Elephas maximus indicus: one gene and its partner. The protein of the gene in region 1 purifies or fractionates together with the protein of each later gene. This does not show direct contact. Links are inferred from orthologs where the notes say so. Each region holds a gene or a part of one and is shown on either strand. Other genes may lie near its edges.

What was found. Proteins that work in one complex are often made in the same cells at the same time.
Region 2: the proteins of ADRA1D (region 1) and SNTB2 purify together in Homo sapiens (tandem affinity purification; 4 studies listed by BioGRID and IntAct, with this or other methods). This does not show direct contact. The link is inferred for Elephas maximus indicus from reciprocal best matches to the Homo sapiens genes ADRA1D and SNTB2.

Annotation. Positions count from the first base shown.
Region 1 is NC_064843.1:42,883,486-42,891,365, forward strand, and holds the start of ADRA1D (alpha-1D adrenergic receptor), read right to left. Parts: upstream 3,143-7,880; 5' UTR 2,566-3,142; coding exon 1,461-2,565; intron 1-1,460. UniProt on the Homo sapiens protein: This alpha-adrenergic receptor mediates its effect through the influx of extracellular calcium.
Region 2 is NC_064839.1:35,419,136-35,427,158, reverse strand, and holds the start of SNTB2 (beta-2-syntrophin), read right to left. Parts: upstream 3,253-8,023; 5' UTR 3,208-3,252; coding exon 2,628-3,207; intron 1-2,627. UniProt on the Homo sapiens protein: Adapter protein that binds to and probably organizes the subcellular localization of a variety of membrane proteins. May link various receptors to the actin cytoskeleton and the dystrophin glycoprotein complex.

The DNA of each region.
Region 1 (7,880 bases):
AAGCCAAGACCTCACGGATGGGGACTTAGCCAGGAGAAAGCTGGGGAGGGCAGTCCAGACAGAGCGGAGAGCAAGTGCAAAGGCCTGGAGATAGGCACGAGCTGGCCACAGGCCAGGGACCTAATGAGAATTAGCGGGAATGGAGGGTGCAGTGAGCAAGAGGGAGGGCAGCGAAGCCATGAGGGCAGAGGGGGGCAGCCACACTTAGCGCCTTCCGACCACTTGTTTGGGTTTGCCTGCACAGTCCTGGTTCATGCCTGTGGTCCCGGCACAAAGATTCCTAGTGCCCTATTTTGGTTTGAACAATAAATTTAAAGGTCACCATCTCATAGGCCACAGTAGAGAGTTTGGATTTTGTTTCCAGGGCAGTGGGAAGGCATTGAGGGGTTTCAGTGAGGGAGTGACAGAATCTAATTTATAATGTATAAAGGCCACTCTGGCTGCTGTGTGGAGAGGGCCTGCAGGGGAGCAGAAGCAAGGCCACTCTCCCCTTCCTGACGCAGCTGCAGCCACGCAGTGTGGGGCCTGTGGGGCGCAGGGAGGCCCCGGCTTGAGCTGGCTGAGGTTGCAGCCATGGGTGAAGTGACCCTGGAGATGCAAACGTGTCTCCAGTGATGCTGTTTTCCCCTTCTCCTCACTGTGCTGGCCCAGATTTAAGACCCACATGAGGGGCCTCCAGGGGTGGTGGAAGCCCCTGCCTGACTCCCAGGACTGCAGGGCAGCTCCTGGAAGAAAGAGGAAAGTTCCTCAGTGGAGCTAAAGGACTCGACCAATAAAAGAAATGACAATTCGCAACATTAACTTCCCATGTGATAAACCGCCTCCATTCTTTTCCTTCTCATCCTCACCGGCCCCCATCTCCAAGAGATTTCAGAAGTGAGATCCAAGGGCATTCACAAACACCAGCTGGGGAGGGTGGAGGAACGAGGCCAGCTTCCAAACCGAATGTGTGCTGGGGGAAAGCAGGTGGCTTCTGGTGTCTGCGGATGTACATGATGGTTGGCAAGGGCTTGGTGAATAGAGAGTCTGCCCACTCTCTGCTCCTGTCTCGGGCTCTGCCATTTGTATCTGGGCAGGGTTTGCATGTATGCAGGTGAGCACACACACTGACCACATACTATGGGCAGAATCCACAGATTTCCACGCACCTTTGATTTTTTTTTTTTGATATTTAGAGGGGCCGGGAGGGTAAAACACGCCCAGGGCTTGTAACAGCAACGAGGCAGGGAAGGCCAGGAAAGTAAAAAGCCTGCGAAAGAAAACTCACAAGCGTGAAGAGCCTCTCACCCTCTGTCTACACAGTGGTGCACGCACCCCTGCTTCAGGGAAGCTACTGAATCAACCTTCTATGTTAAGGCGGAGAGTCGAGGGTCACCCAAGTCGGGGGAGGAGAGTGAGGAGGACAAAGCCACAGTCTCAAGGGAGGGAGAGGAGGGGCTGGTGGGTAAGGGGTCACTCACCAAGAGGAAGGACGAAGAAGAAGGGGAACCAGCAGAGCACGAAGACTCCCACAACGATGGCCAGGGTCTTGGCCGCCTTCTTCTCGCGGGAGAACTTGAGCAGGCGCACAGAGAAGGAGCTGCGGAAGTTGTGGCCCTTGGCGCTCCGCGTCCCGTGCGCCCGGTCGGTACCTGTGCCCGCACCGCGACAGTGGATACGCAGCACCACGTCCGAGGCCTTGCCCCGCTCGAGCTTGATGCCCGCCTCGAGGCTCCGCGTGGTGCTGCGCGCGACCACGTACACGCGGCAGTACATGACCACGATGACGGCCATGGGCAGGTAGAAGGAGCACACGGAGGAGAAGACGGCGTAGCCCGCCTCCTCCGTGATGCCGCAGAAGCGCTCATCTGTGGGCACGGGCTCCTTCCAGCCAAGCAGCGGCCCCACGGACACCACGAGGGCTACGACCCAAAGCAGCGCCAGGATGGCGGCCGCCTTGCGCTCCGTCATGATGGCCGGGTACTTGAGCGAGTGGCGCACGCCCACGTACCGGTCCACCGAGATGGTGCAGAGGCTGAGGATGGAAGCGGTGCAGCACAGTACGTCCACCGCGGCCCACACGTCGCAGAAGGCGCGGCCGAAGGCCCAGAAGCCCAGGACCTCCATGGTGGCAGAGAAAGGCAGCACCGTGGTGCTCAGCAGCAGGTCGGCCACGGCCAGGTTGACGATGAAGTAGTTAGTGACTGTCTGCAGGTGGCGGTTGCAGGCCACCGAGAGGATGACAAGCAGGTTGCCCGCCACAGCGGTGAGGATGAACGCGGCCAGAAAGACGCCCACGCCCAAGCCCTGCGCGCTCACCACGAGCCCCCCGACGGCCGCCGTGCTGTTCACCTCGCCGTTCGCACCCCCAGGCTCCCCGGCGGAGCTGCCATTGTCCTCGCTGCCGCCCGCGCCCACCACGCCGCCGCCGCCGCCCGCGACCCCCGGCACGCCCCCCACCGCCGGGCCCTCCGAGGCGGCCGAGCCGCCCGCGCTGCCCGAGCCGGCACCTGAGCCGGCAGCCCCGGAGCCGCTGTCCGGGCGAGGTCCCTCGAAACTGACGCTCAGGAGATCGCGGAAAGTCATCTCAACGCGCGGCCGTCGGAGGCCAGGCCCGGGGGCTGGGCGTGCTGCTGCCAGGGAGGGAGGCACCGAGCATAGCCGCAGGGCTCCGATCCAGCGGCACGCGCCGGCTCCGTCGGGGACCGGTCCAAGTTCCTGGGACGCCGGGCGCGGCTGCTCCGAGCGGAGCGGGGCCGGCCGGGACGGCGACCGGGCTCCCCAAGGCCAGCCGCAGAATCGGACCCAGAAGCCGGGCCGGCGACTCGCGCGGCTCTCCGAGCGCGCCCAGGCGAGTGGGCAGAGCAGCAGCTCCGGGCCGGGCGGTGCAGGCGGCAGCCACTGCGGCGCTTCCAACTGGGCGCGGGGGGCAGGACGGAGGAGGGGCAGCGCCTGCAGGGAGGAGGGGGCGGCCGGCGCCGAGGGAGGGGACGCTGCGCTCCCGAGAGAAGGGGCTCTGCGCGCCGGCCGAGCAGCCGTGCCGGGGTCCGGATGGGCCGCGGCGCTAGCGCGCGCTCGGGGCCGGTATAGCCGTCCCTGCCTCTCCGCGGGTGCGCCCGCCAGTCCTCTTCTCTCGCGCCCCCTCCTGTCTCCCTCTCTTGCCTCTCCGTGACCCCTCCCCCCTTCCCTCAGCTGCGTCCCGCTTCCTCCCGCCCTCTCTCCGGCCTCTCGGTCACTCGTTGGTGCCCTTGGGGGCGCGGAGCGGAGAAGGCACGACTCCCGGGTCCCCGGGCTCCCAGCTCCGGCCGCCAGAGAGCAGCAACCGCCCGGGATCTGCGGACTGCGGACAGGAGCGCGCAGTGCCTTGGCGGGTCGCCTCCTGGGGCTGCCTGGATGATCTGCGGCACCTCCTCCCCTCAGGCTGCCAGCCAGGGGAGGGTCCCAAACGTCTCTGCCCAGTGCGGTGGTGTGGAGAGAGCCTCGGAAGGAATCAGACGCCCGAGCTGGGCTGACCCTAGGTATGACGGACGCAGGAACCAGAGACTTTACGGTTATAGCCTTCGAAACTCTGCTTATGACACATCGGCCTGCAGCCGCCAATGTCTGCACTGTTGCTTCACTCCACGCCGGATGTCAGAATAAACCTTTCCGCTGCAGCACCCAGACAAGTGGTCTTCTTGGGGAGGGGGGCGGTTAGGTGCTGGCGGGTGGGGAAAGGCCACTTGGTGGGATGGTTAAGAGGGTGAGGAGAACCGGCTGGGTCCAAATCCAGGCCCGACCCCATATAGCTGCTTAATCTCCTTGTACCTCGGCTCCTCATCTGCAAAATGAAGATTAATAGTAGTGCCTACCTGGTGGGGGAAACCCTGGTGGTGTAGTGGTTAAGAGTGCCGGCTGCAAACTACACAGGCCGGCAGTTCGAATCCAGTGGGTGCTCCTTGGAAACTCTATGGGGCAGTTCTAGTTTGTCCTGTAGGGTTGCTATGAGTTGGAATCGACTTGACAGCAACGGGGTTTGGTTTGGTTTTACCTTGTGGATTTGTTGTGAGGGTTAGGTGAACTAATACTTGTTATGCCCCCAAAGCAGTGGCTGGGATTGTTAGATGAGCTCGGCTCAGCAGGGCAGGATTAGAAGAGGGAGAACAGAGGGCAGAGGGATGTGGAGCTGGTATAAGTGGGGACACCCACAGGGAGGAGGGGAGGAGGGTGTGAGGAGACTCTTGCTGACTAGCAGAACAGGTAGGGAGAGGTGAAAAGAGACCATTCACTTAAACAACAAGGAGCTGTCCTCAGGTGTCAGGCATCATGCTGGGCACCTGGGTGGGTGAGAGAGTGGTGGCGGGGAAGGACCTGCAGGGAGGATCACACCACCGTGTAGGCGTAGGTTGAGGCAGACTTGACCCATGCCTGGGAGATGAGGGCCTGTTTGGAGCTGTGTCTGGGAGGGGAGAAGTATTCACAGACTGGGCAGGATGTCTCAGAGTCCTGGAGAAGAAGGTGTTTGGAGAAGAATTAGAAGATGAGAGAAATGTTGAGAGATGGGTACCCTTCCCCTGCCCCCAAGGAAGCCAAACCTGTTAATAGCTTAGAAACACCTCTGCCAGGCCCTCCACTTCCCCATTAAATATTTCACTTGGGTCTTTGGGAACTTGCCGTGGCAAATTGAAATGAAAGTAAAGTAGATCTTAAGGGTCAGCTGGTAGCTGACTAAACACAAAACCTTGGGTTTGGGCTTCCTCGTGGAAGAGGAGGGGCAGAGGGCACTGAAAGGGGAGGTCAGGAGCTCCTCACAGGAGCCCGCTGGCTGGCAGGCTCTGTGCCCATGACTGCGTGCCATCTTGCAAGGATAAGCTTGGCAGGTCCATCCGACTCTGGGCTTGGTCAGACTTCAAGGAAGACTGGGAGAAGGACGTATTTTTAACCCTAAGGCCGAGGCTGGGGTGGTAGGGAGCTATTTGGCAGGTGTCACAGAGCTCTGTGCCTGATTCTGACCCAGAGGACCAGCAGAAGGCTGGCTGCAGATGTACTTGCCAGCAGGGTGAGGAGAGTTGTGGGATAGTGTGACTGAAAGAAGGTAGGACAGTCTCACTCTGTCTCGGGTCTTGGTGATTCTGAGATCTGCAAGAGGATTCCTGAGGCTCTAGAGCTCTAGGTGAAGGAACCTGGAGGTCTATGGAGGAGCAGGAGTTGTGAGATTGTCCTGGGGTTTCATGTACAGGCTTCTCAGATGCTCAAATCAGAGAAGGGATTGGGAGCATGTACTGCTGGCAGCAGGGAAGGATTACACCATAACCAAGTTAAGCGAGTGTTTAGGGCATCAACAAAACAGGGGCACCAGTTATTCAAAGCAAACAGCTATAGATGCCAAGCAGACAGGACACAAGGAAAAGTGAGTGACACAGTGGAAGGGAACTGACAGGGCATTAAATGAGACTGGCACCAGTTCCAGTGTGTGAGAATGCGCCGGGTGAAAATAAAGTTTATGAAGGGTGCCCACACGCAAGGTTGTTTAAGCTATGAGGCCCCTACCACTTCAACACCTTCATTGACATCTGTCTCCTACAGTCCCCTCTCATGTAATTGAAACTCCTTATCTTGGTGAGTCTCTTGGGAGTGTATTATTTTTTTCTAATAAACAAGAGGTAGGTTTTAACTCTTGCTACATTCACCCAGTATGCAACTGGATTCAGCATGAGCAGTTACTAGGCAAGGATGGATTATATTAATAGACAACAGGTTTCTGATCCATTTTTAGAGAACCGTCTCCTACAGCCATGCCCTCTGATCCAGCAACTGCAGTCAAGAGGGCCAGCACTGCTCTTCGCCATGATAAAAACACAAGGGTATGCTCTTACGCTCTTATGTACATCCTGGTAAACAACGCTATGGGAACTCCAGTCCCAGATGACGTGCAAAAGCGAGGAAACTCGAATAAGTCGACCGTTGCAATTAATTCAATCAAGTTACTTTTTAGCTGTGTAGCATTTATGTACAGAGTTACGTCCTAAGTTTTGTAAACAATAATATTTTTAACTTGAACTTTAAGAATATGTTTGGCATACATGTGGACTCAATCTAGCATAGATTTAATATAATACTAACATGGGTAATAATTTAATATCATACCAACATAGCAAACATCCAAAAATACTGAAAATATCAATATTTATCTAACACAAAAAGTTTTAATTTATGTATCAAGTGAGTTTCATTTTTTATTGTCCGTTGCACAAGACACTGCTTGATATTACTCTATGTGTGAAAAAACTCTATAAAAAAAAAATGAGGTGATAGGCACGTTAAGGGGATGAAAAATTGAATATTTATTTATCGGGCAAAATATGTTTCTTTTTTGCAACAATGAGTGTGTTTTTATATTCGTCTTCCAAAAAAGCAACAAAGGGCGTGTATCAGAACATTACATTTATATTTTATCAGCGTATTTATGTATCTCTGGGTAAGGGAATTGAACAATTTCTCAAGGAAATAAACTCAATGAATATTTGTTATTGTTAGGTGCCGTTAAGTCTGTTCCGACTCATAGTGACCCTATGCACAACAGAACGAAACACTGCCCAGTCCTGCACCATCCTCACCATCATTGTTCTGCTTGAGCCCATTGTTGCAGCCACCGTGTCAATTCGTCTCCTTGAGAGTCTTCCTCTTTTTTGCTGACCCTCTACTTTACCAAGCATGATGTCCTTCTCCAGGGACTGGTCCCTCCTGATAATATGTCCAAAGTATGTGAGAGGTAATCTCACCATCCTTGCTTCCAAGGAACATTCTGGTTGTACTTCTTCCAAGACAGATTTGTACATTCTTATGGCAGTCCCTGGTATATTTAAAATTCTTCGCCGACACCACAATTCAAAGGCATCAATTCTTCCTTATTCATCGACCAGCTTTCACATGCATAGGAGGCAATTGGAAACACCAGGGCTTCGGTCAGATGCACCTTAGTCTTCAAGGTGACATCTTTGCTTTTTAACACTTGAAGGAGATCTTTTGCAGCAGATTTGCCCAATGCAATGCATCTTGTGATTCCTTGACTGCTGCTTCCATGGGTGTTGATTGTGGATCCAAGTAAAGTGAAATCCTTGACAACTTCAATTTTTCTCCATTTATCGTGATATTGCTTATTGGTCCAGTTGTGAAGATTTTTGTTTTCTTTATGTTCAAGTGCAATCCATACTGAAGGCTGTGGTCTTTGATCTTCATCAGAAAGTGCTTCAAGTCCTCTTCAGTTTCAGCAAGCAAGGTTGTGTCATCTGTATAATACAGGTTGTTAATGAGTCTTCCTCCAATCCTGAAGCCCCGTTCTTCATATAGTGCAGCTTCTCGGATTGTTTACTTAGCACAGAGATTGAATAAGTATGTGAAAGGATACAGCCCTGATGCACACCTTTCCTGACTTTAAACCACACAGTATTCCCTTGTTCTGTTCAAATGACTACCTCTTGATCCATGTATGGGTTCCTCATGAGCACAATTAAGTGTTCCAGAATTCCCATTCTTCGCAACGTTATCCATAATTTGTTATGATCCACACAGTCAAATGCCTTTGCGTAGTCAATAAAACACAGGCAAACATCTTTCTGGCATTCTCTGCTTTCAGCCAAGATTCGTCTAACATTAGCAATGTTATCTCCACTTCCATGTCCTCTTCTGAATCCTGCTTGAATTTCTGGCAGTTCCCTTCCAATATATTGCTGCTGCCACTTTTGAATGGTCTCCAGCAAAATTTTACTTGTGTGTAATATTAATGATATTGTTTGATAATTTCCACATTTGATTGGATCACCTTTCTTTGGAATAGAAATAAATATGGATCTCTTCTAGTCAGTTGGCCAGGTAGCTGTCCTCCAAATTTCTTGGCAGAGATGAGTGAGCACCTCTAGCAC
Region 2 (8,023 bases), on another chromosome or scaffold:
AGACTAGGAAGAAAGGCCTGGCAATTTTCTTCCAAAACCTAGCCAATGAAAAAATCCTATAAACCCTGGGACATGGTAGATGTTGAATAAATGTGTAATGAATTAGTGAATGAACAACCTCAACATATCCTTCAGATAAAATAGGTCCCTTTTAAAAAAAGGTTCTTTTAAAAAAAAAGGACCAGAGACTACAGTTTTCCTTGGCATGGAGGTGGCAAGGGCATGCCTGGAATTCCCTGCCCATACCACAAAAGAGCACCACTGTATGTTAAGGCAGTTTTCCAAGTTTTGAGACATCTAGTAAGAGGACAATGGGGTTTGGAAACTTTAAGGGTCAAGCATTAAATTTATCTTTTTAAAAGTGGATGGAACACCAACTCTTGATTTTAAATATTGTTTGTTTTAATTAAAATACTGTTCTCAGTGATTTTGCATATTTTGAGTACTTTTATTTTTGATTCCCCTTGGCTTAAAAATGCAATGCCATAAACCTACCATATTCCCTACACCTATAAGGACAAAAACTGCTTGTCTTTTACCAAATGGGAAAATAAAGTAGAACTTGTGTGTTTGATAAAGAGGCATTTAGTAAATATATTATTACACTGCCATTTGTAAACCCTCTTTCTAAAAGTACATGTGCCTATTTTAGGTTAATGAATACCAGGTAACATTTACTAAATACTTTTCATTTTACTGGTATGAATACCAGGTTCAAACTATAAGCAAAAACTATTTTTTGTTTTTTAAAAGTATGGTATGAAGGGTTTAACTGCTCATCACCACTCAGTATAAATAGTACTAAATTCAGTATTCTGCCTCTAAGAATTTATAACCAAATGTTTACCTTGACCAATTTCAAGGTACTCATTTAAGATTAAAAAATTTTTTCACACACTGCTCAAGTCACAATCTGTGCTTTTATCCCTTTTATTAACACTAATTTTTAAATTTCTTTTAGCCCCACCTAATAAGTAGGATATAAATAGGATTTATAAATAGAATATTATAAAGGTAGGACACTTAAATTTCACAACTGGAATATATTAAATCACTTACTTGCAAACTAATACTGTCTCAAATAGTCACACACAGATTTGGAAAAGAGTGAAAATCATTTTACCAAGCTGGACTCCTAGCCTCTCAGTCTGATTGCTTCCGCCCCACCTCATCCTTTCTCTTCTGTTCTTCCTCTGCCAGGAATACCATCCTGACTCATCTCTGCCTAAGTCCATTGCTTCCTTGGAGACCTGGCTCAAGATTCAGCTCCTTGATGAAGACCTCCCTCACTAGTTCCCATTTCCACTACTTTCTAATTTTGCATCCCCCTGGGATTTATATGGAAACCCTTGTGGCATAGTGGTTGAGCGCTATGGCTGCTAACCAAAAGGTCGGCAGTTCAAATCCACCAGATGCTCCTTGGAAACTCTATGGGGCAGTTCTACCGTGTCCTGTAGGGTCGCTATGAGTCGGAATTGATTTGATGGCAATGGGTTTTGGTTTGGGATTTATATGTAGTTTGCACTACACAATCAAGAACTTAGTTTTTTTTCCTCACTGTAAATTGTTTTTCATGTTTCTATCATTTCCCCAACCAGGGACCATGTAGAGACAGCATCTTCTACTTTCATATTCGCTTCTACAGGGGTGGCAATAAGTGCTTCTTCAATGACTGAATCACAAGTGAAACAAAGCCAATTGTTCAAAAATTTAAGTAACTGGGTTTTCAAATCACATTTACAATACTCTTATCATCTCCACTATGCATAGGTCCTTATAAAAGATGAGATTTAATTCTGCCATAGTTCCATCAATTCATCATAAAAGCCCCAGGTTACAGACCTACACGTATAATCAAGGTAAAGAATAATCCGGGCCATTCAAATATATCTTGTGATTTACCATTTCAAGTCGCTCATAAAAAGCTTCATAGTCTTAAAGCAGCATGCTTGTGAGTGATAGGGAGCTGGCACCAGCCTCTTGCAAAAGGGACAAAACTCTGTTTGGCAGTCACTGTTCAAACACGTGAGCCTCCACTGTTAAACAAGGCTCGTTAACCACACCAAACTTGCTGTTTCAGCGTTCTGGCTTCAATGAAGTGCTACGATCGCCTTAGGTTATTGTTGAGAGCCAACGATGGGTTAAATTCCCATACATTAACCAGCCTTTTTGGTGGTTTGCCCAAGTATCAGTGTGGATGGATTTTTTTTATAGACCCGCCCGCCCGGGGGAGCCAGAGGTGAGTGAAGAGCGAGCCACCTCGGTACTTCTCAGCAGGCAAACGCGAGCTGTTCGGGCTCCCTCAGCTCTTAGCGGCAGCTTATCGCGCAGAGGGGGGAGCTTCAGACGCGGCAGCTTTTTACTAAAACGCAGCCGAGTCTACCCTTAGAGACTGCACGCCACACTTCGGCGTCTGCCCAACTTTTCCTGCAAGGAGCATCAGCTTTTCCACATTCAAACCCTCAGAAGACGGGGTGTGGTAGAGACCGGCCACAAGCCGAGGGGAAGGAAAGCAGGCCCCGGGGGAGGGAACAAGCTCGCCCCGCCAAGGGCGCAGGGTGGCAGAAACAAAGTGCGCGCCCAGGAGCCCGACTGCCGCCGCGTCCCGCCCGCCCGGCCCCGCTCACCCTCCAGCAGCACCTCCTTGCCCGCGCGCTTCAGCGCCTGCACGGCCTGGTCGTGGGTGGCTTGGCGCAGGTCAGTGCCGTTCACCGACAGGATGGCGTCGCCCAGCCGCAGCGCCCGGCTCTGGTCGGCCGCCAGCCCCGGGAAGATCTTGGAGATGAGGATCGGCATCCGGTTTTCGCGGCCGCCCTTGATGCTGATGCCCAGGCCGCCCGCCTCCTGCTTCACCACTCGCACCCGGCGCACGGGCGGCGACGCGCCCGCCTCGCCCGCCGAGCCCCGTGGCGGCGCCGGCGGGCTCGGGGGGCCCAGGCCGCGGCTCGGGCTCCCGGGCAGCGAGTCGCCGGCTCCGCCGCCGTTCGGGAGGCCGTTGAAGTCGGCCGCCGCCGGCCCCAGAGCGGGCTCGGACTCGGCCGCCGCGGCGTCGCCCGTCAGGCTCAGGCTCTCGCCGCTCAGCTCGGCCACCACCCGGACCCAGCGCTCTCTCAGCAGCAGCTCCACCAGCCCCGCTTTGGTGGCCCGCGTCCACACCGCCATGGCCGGCCCCGCTCCCGCCGCCGCAGTCGCCGCAGCTACCCTCATTCCAGTCAGGCAGCCTTGGCGCTTCCCCCTTCCCGCCCGAGGGGGCGGGTCCGGCCCCTCCCCCGCCCGGGGTGATTCATTATTCATGAGAGGCCACGCCCACCTTCCGGGGTGGGGGCGGAGAGAGGCCGGCGGAGCTGCTTCCGGAAGGTGAGAAGTTGCCGGGAATCCGGTCCCTTGCCCTTCACCGGACGTGGGCAGCCAGCCCGAGCGCCCCTCAACCCCTGAGCTCTACCGTGCAGTCCCCAGGAGCTGCCTGGGCACAGAAAGCAACATCAGCTTCGAGAAGTACTTTGTAAGCCTGTAAGGTCTGAGTCGCATGTTTATTCTTGCGTTGATTGGTTCATTCCGTATTTACTGATAGCTCCGCCCTGTGCGTGGACACCTTCTGAGGTCCAGGAGATAAGCTGAATAAAACATACCACAGCTGACAGCTCGCGGTCTAGGAGGAGAGGAAGACCCATAACCAACCAGCTAGTTGCGATAGTATGTGGTTAGTGACATGTAGGAAACGCCCCAAGAGCAGAGTGGAAGGAACATTTGGTTCAGCCTGGGGTAGGCGTCACAGAGGTGACAATGGAGAATGAACCCTCAAGCATGAGGAAAATTACCAAAGGTCCAGAGGCAGGAACCTAAACATTTGTTACTCTGCTTTGCAATTACCAGTTTACTTGCCTGTAATGCAAGAAGGTGCCATGTCTTCTTCAGCCCAGTAGCCACAATAGGTAGGCCTCAAAGATATTTGCAGAATGGTGGTTATTTAAGAAGCCGTGATTCCAATATGAAGTCAGTGGAGGTGAGAGCGTGAGCGTGAAAAGCCTCATATAATCTAACAACGAAGAGTTTGGACTTGACTTTGTAGATCTGACTTTCTTAGCCTCGGGGCCATGGCCTTCTGCTGGGGAAAGTGTAGATGGGCATCCTCAGAAACTATGCAAAATTTGGTCTCTTAAGTTTTCAGAGTTTCCAAGGAGCAACTGGTGGATTCAAACTCACAATCTTTTGGTTGGTAGCTGTAGCACTTAACCACTGTGCCACCAGAGTTCCAAGGTAAGTTTTGGCTTCCATTCAATTCACAGACATTCCAGGGACAAAAGCCACAACCACTACTGTGCACGCTGCAGAGCCTGCAACCGCTTGTATCCAAAGACACGAATGATTCAATCCACAGGCTCTTCCAGCTTCATAGGCTAAAAAGCTGAAGAAACTGAGGCCCAGAGAGCCAAAAACTCTGGTCCAAAGTCCCCAGTGAGGAAGTACAGACCACAACTCAGGCCTCCCAGCCTCTTGGTCCAGTGTTTTCACTATATACCTGGACTATTAAAAATGAGAGCCCAGAAATCACACAGCTGAGAAAGAGAGCTTTCATTAAAAACATGGGGTCAAGGTGCCCTCTAACTTTCCTTCAGCATCAAAAGTGAAACCCCACATTTTCATTTCAAGAAGTAGAGGTAAGCAGAGGGAGTGTGCACCAATTTCTATAAAAGGGGCTGTACACCTGCTTGTTCATGAAGTGCATGCTGAGGCTCATAAGCTGTGTTCATGCACCACTCTATAAATGCACATTCATATGTGGGCAGAAGCTTCCAAAAAACCTCACATACCAGGAATTAAAACAACAAAAATAGAGGCTGGGAAGCACCCAGAGCCCAACTGAAGAAAGAATCCAAAATGAGAAAAGTATCTTCCCGAAAAATCATTAGAGCAGAATCCTTTTTGGAATTAGGGGGGTAGGATTTTCCAAGCTGCAAATGTCAGCAAAAGCTCAACCCTCCAGCCCTCTCCTAAAATCAATTGCAGTGAGGCCAGCTTACTGTTCCAGCAGGTCCTGATGTGCCCAAGTGCACCTGCAGTCACAGACACTTCTGGCTCTGCTCCAGTTGAGGCATGAGTCCCCGGAGGCCTGAGTTATGTGAAATTTCTGCTTAATAGAGAACGCTTGGCACCTGATTCCTTAGAGTCTGAGCACTATTTTTAACTCTTGCATACGTAATCACCCAGGGGATGGGCACTTGAGGACGCCTTTATTAGCAAAGGGAAGTGCTGGAAATTCTTTCCAAGAGTATCAAGACCTTTTTGGTCAATAGAATTGGAGGAAGTCATAGATCATCCAACTAAAAGTAAGTGAGGGCACTTATATAAGATAGCCAGTTATAAAACAAAATATTTAACCTTGGGAGTAGATAGGAAGGTTATGGAGATTGCTTTTTGGATTACATGGAGATTTTTCCTTAAAAATGTTTTTAACTTATCCATACAACTCCCAAGGTATAAGACCCTCCAACAGAACCCAAATTAACTTTTCAACATTGTCATTACTACTTTCAGATTTGCCAAACTCACCACCCAATCAGTGTTCCCCAATGCCTTTTCACATTGCAGCCTGAATCTTCCAAACATCTCTTGTCCCCTTGGACCTCTTTCCCTCATAGCAAGATCTCATCCCAGCTTTCCCTGACTACTCAGTTGGTTGGGATTTTTCCTTTGAATGATTTTTTCCCCTATGCCTGGCCCATGTGCCCAAATAAATTATAAACTACAGGAGGGCAGGGACCACCCATTGACTTATTTTTATACCCCACTATTCCAAGCATATTGTCTCATACAGAAGGAACTCATTAAACATGTGAATGATTGAAATTGAGTGCCTCTTGTGATGTAGTATCTTCAAATAACGCCTCTGAAGGTTATTGGTTCCTTGCAGAGTGAAAATTACCATCTAGGAAATCTCAAGTAGTGAAGTATCCGCTTATTGTGAATAATGACATCTGAAGTAAAGAGTACATCTCTGTTTCCACAGTTTCTTGAGGACAGTGAGACAAGCTCAGAAAATTCTTTAAACAGGCACGCTATTTTATCTACCTCTGAAAAAAGCAAATGGCTGAGTTCATTCTTAATAACTTTTCATTCCTGTCACCTATCAACATCTATTCTCCTCTGCTCAAACTGTTGTCTTACTATTTCTCAGAATGAGGCAGGGATCGTTGCTATTTAAAATGAGGGAGTTAGATTCACTCTGTCAGTTCCATAATTTCATTTTACAATCTGTGACTCAGGCTCTGATTCTATGCCTCCTTAAACCCTATGGTTTGAGGGGAAGGTGGGAAGAGCGGCCTTTTTTCATCTCCCTCATAGTGGATGTAGAGTATAGCATGGTAAATAAGAGCACAAGGTTCAAATTGTGGTTTGGCCATTTACCAAATATATGACAATGGGCAAGAGGCTGAGGTCATAGGCCTAGTCTCTTCTTGGGAAAAATTCAGATAACTTGTCTCTAAGGGTGGTTGTGAGGGTTGAGTGGGTTGATGAGGATTCAAAGTGCTTACCACAGTGGCAGCCATATAAAAAGTATCTGTTGCTGTTATTACCTATCGACCTTCAGCAGTAGCGACAATAAAACCTTTGGTAGAAACTCTTGAGAGTCTACACTTTACCTAGGATTGAGTCTGCCATAATGCCATTTGATTCCAGGATTAAAGGGCAAAGAGCCAAATTAATTTCAGTGACAAACAGATCTCATATAAAGCTACACTTCAACTGAAAGGGAATATATATTGCCAAGAGTCCGCCAAAGGAAAGAATTAGTGGGTCTGGGGCTAGTTCCAAGGTTTGAGTGTTGTGTAATTTCGTAAGGAAGGAGGGCCCCAGGCAAAATAGCAGCCTTGAAAAAGCCTGAAGGTCACTACCACAAAGGCGGCTAGATGCCAGAGGAAAAAAAACCAAGAGCCACTCAATTACTATTAAAGAAGAGGCTAAAGGGAGAAATAAGCTGTGAAATAGCCAATACCCAACTTTGAAAAATTACCCACGTATAACTGTTCTTCAATTAGAAGACACTGAAATCAGCTGTCCCTTTCAATGGACAGTACAACTTTGCCTTCAGGGAGAAATACCCTAAAATCTATTTTTTCTCCAGCATCAAACATGAAGTGAAAGAGGAAAAGTTGCATTTATCCTTTAGCTGATGCAAACACATTTTTAGAAATTCATCCCGCCAAGATAAATCACTATCCATCTGAAATCCTCAAAAATGGATTAACTATCTCATGCATTATGACTATGACAAACCACATCTGCTAACCACATTCCTAATGAGAAGCAGCTGGTGACAGTTTTGTAGCGTTGTGACTTTCTTTTTAGGAAAATATTAGCAAGGACATACTAAGCAGAAGGTTAGTTTCACTGAATTCACTTAGCTATGGAAAATCACCAGTGTTTTTTCTTGACAGGCACAGAAATTACACAATCTCTCCTGAGTAGGTTAATGCAATAGCCAATTTGGGTGATCATGAACTTCTCTGGGAATCAGCTGTATGTGGTGGATGCTCTCCTCAGACAAATGCACACTCACATGCATTCAACCTTGGGGGCTCACAAAGCCCCTGACACCCATCAATGGACCCTGTCAAGAACCTACACAATAGCTTGTTTTTTGGCCTCCCCAACATCCAGTCTTTTCTGCCCCTTATGTATACAATCATTTTTACTTTGGATCTGTGAATGACTCACAACTATGTGTTCCACTGAATGAGAATTCTTAACTACAGACTTCAAGGCCCACCTCTAACTGGTTCTGTCTCTCACTACACGTTGACTTAAGGGCTCTATATCCAAATCTACTTATCTTTTCTGTACAATTTTCTAAACCACTTAGCTTCCCTCTATGGAAACTGCTCTACTCTTAGCTTTTCTATGAATCTCACGTGGTTCTCCTGGTTCTGTCACTATCACCTAGGGAAGCTGTCACCCTTCTGAGGCCAGCTTTTCTGATTTTGAGACAAGCATAATCTCAGCAGAATGGTAGGTCCTGCCAGCC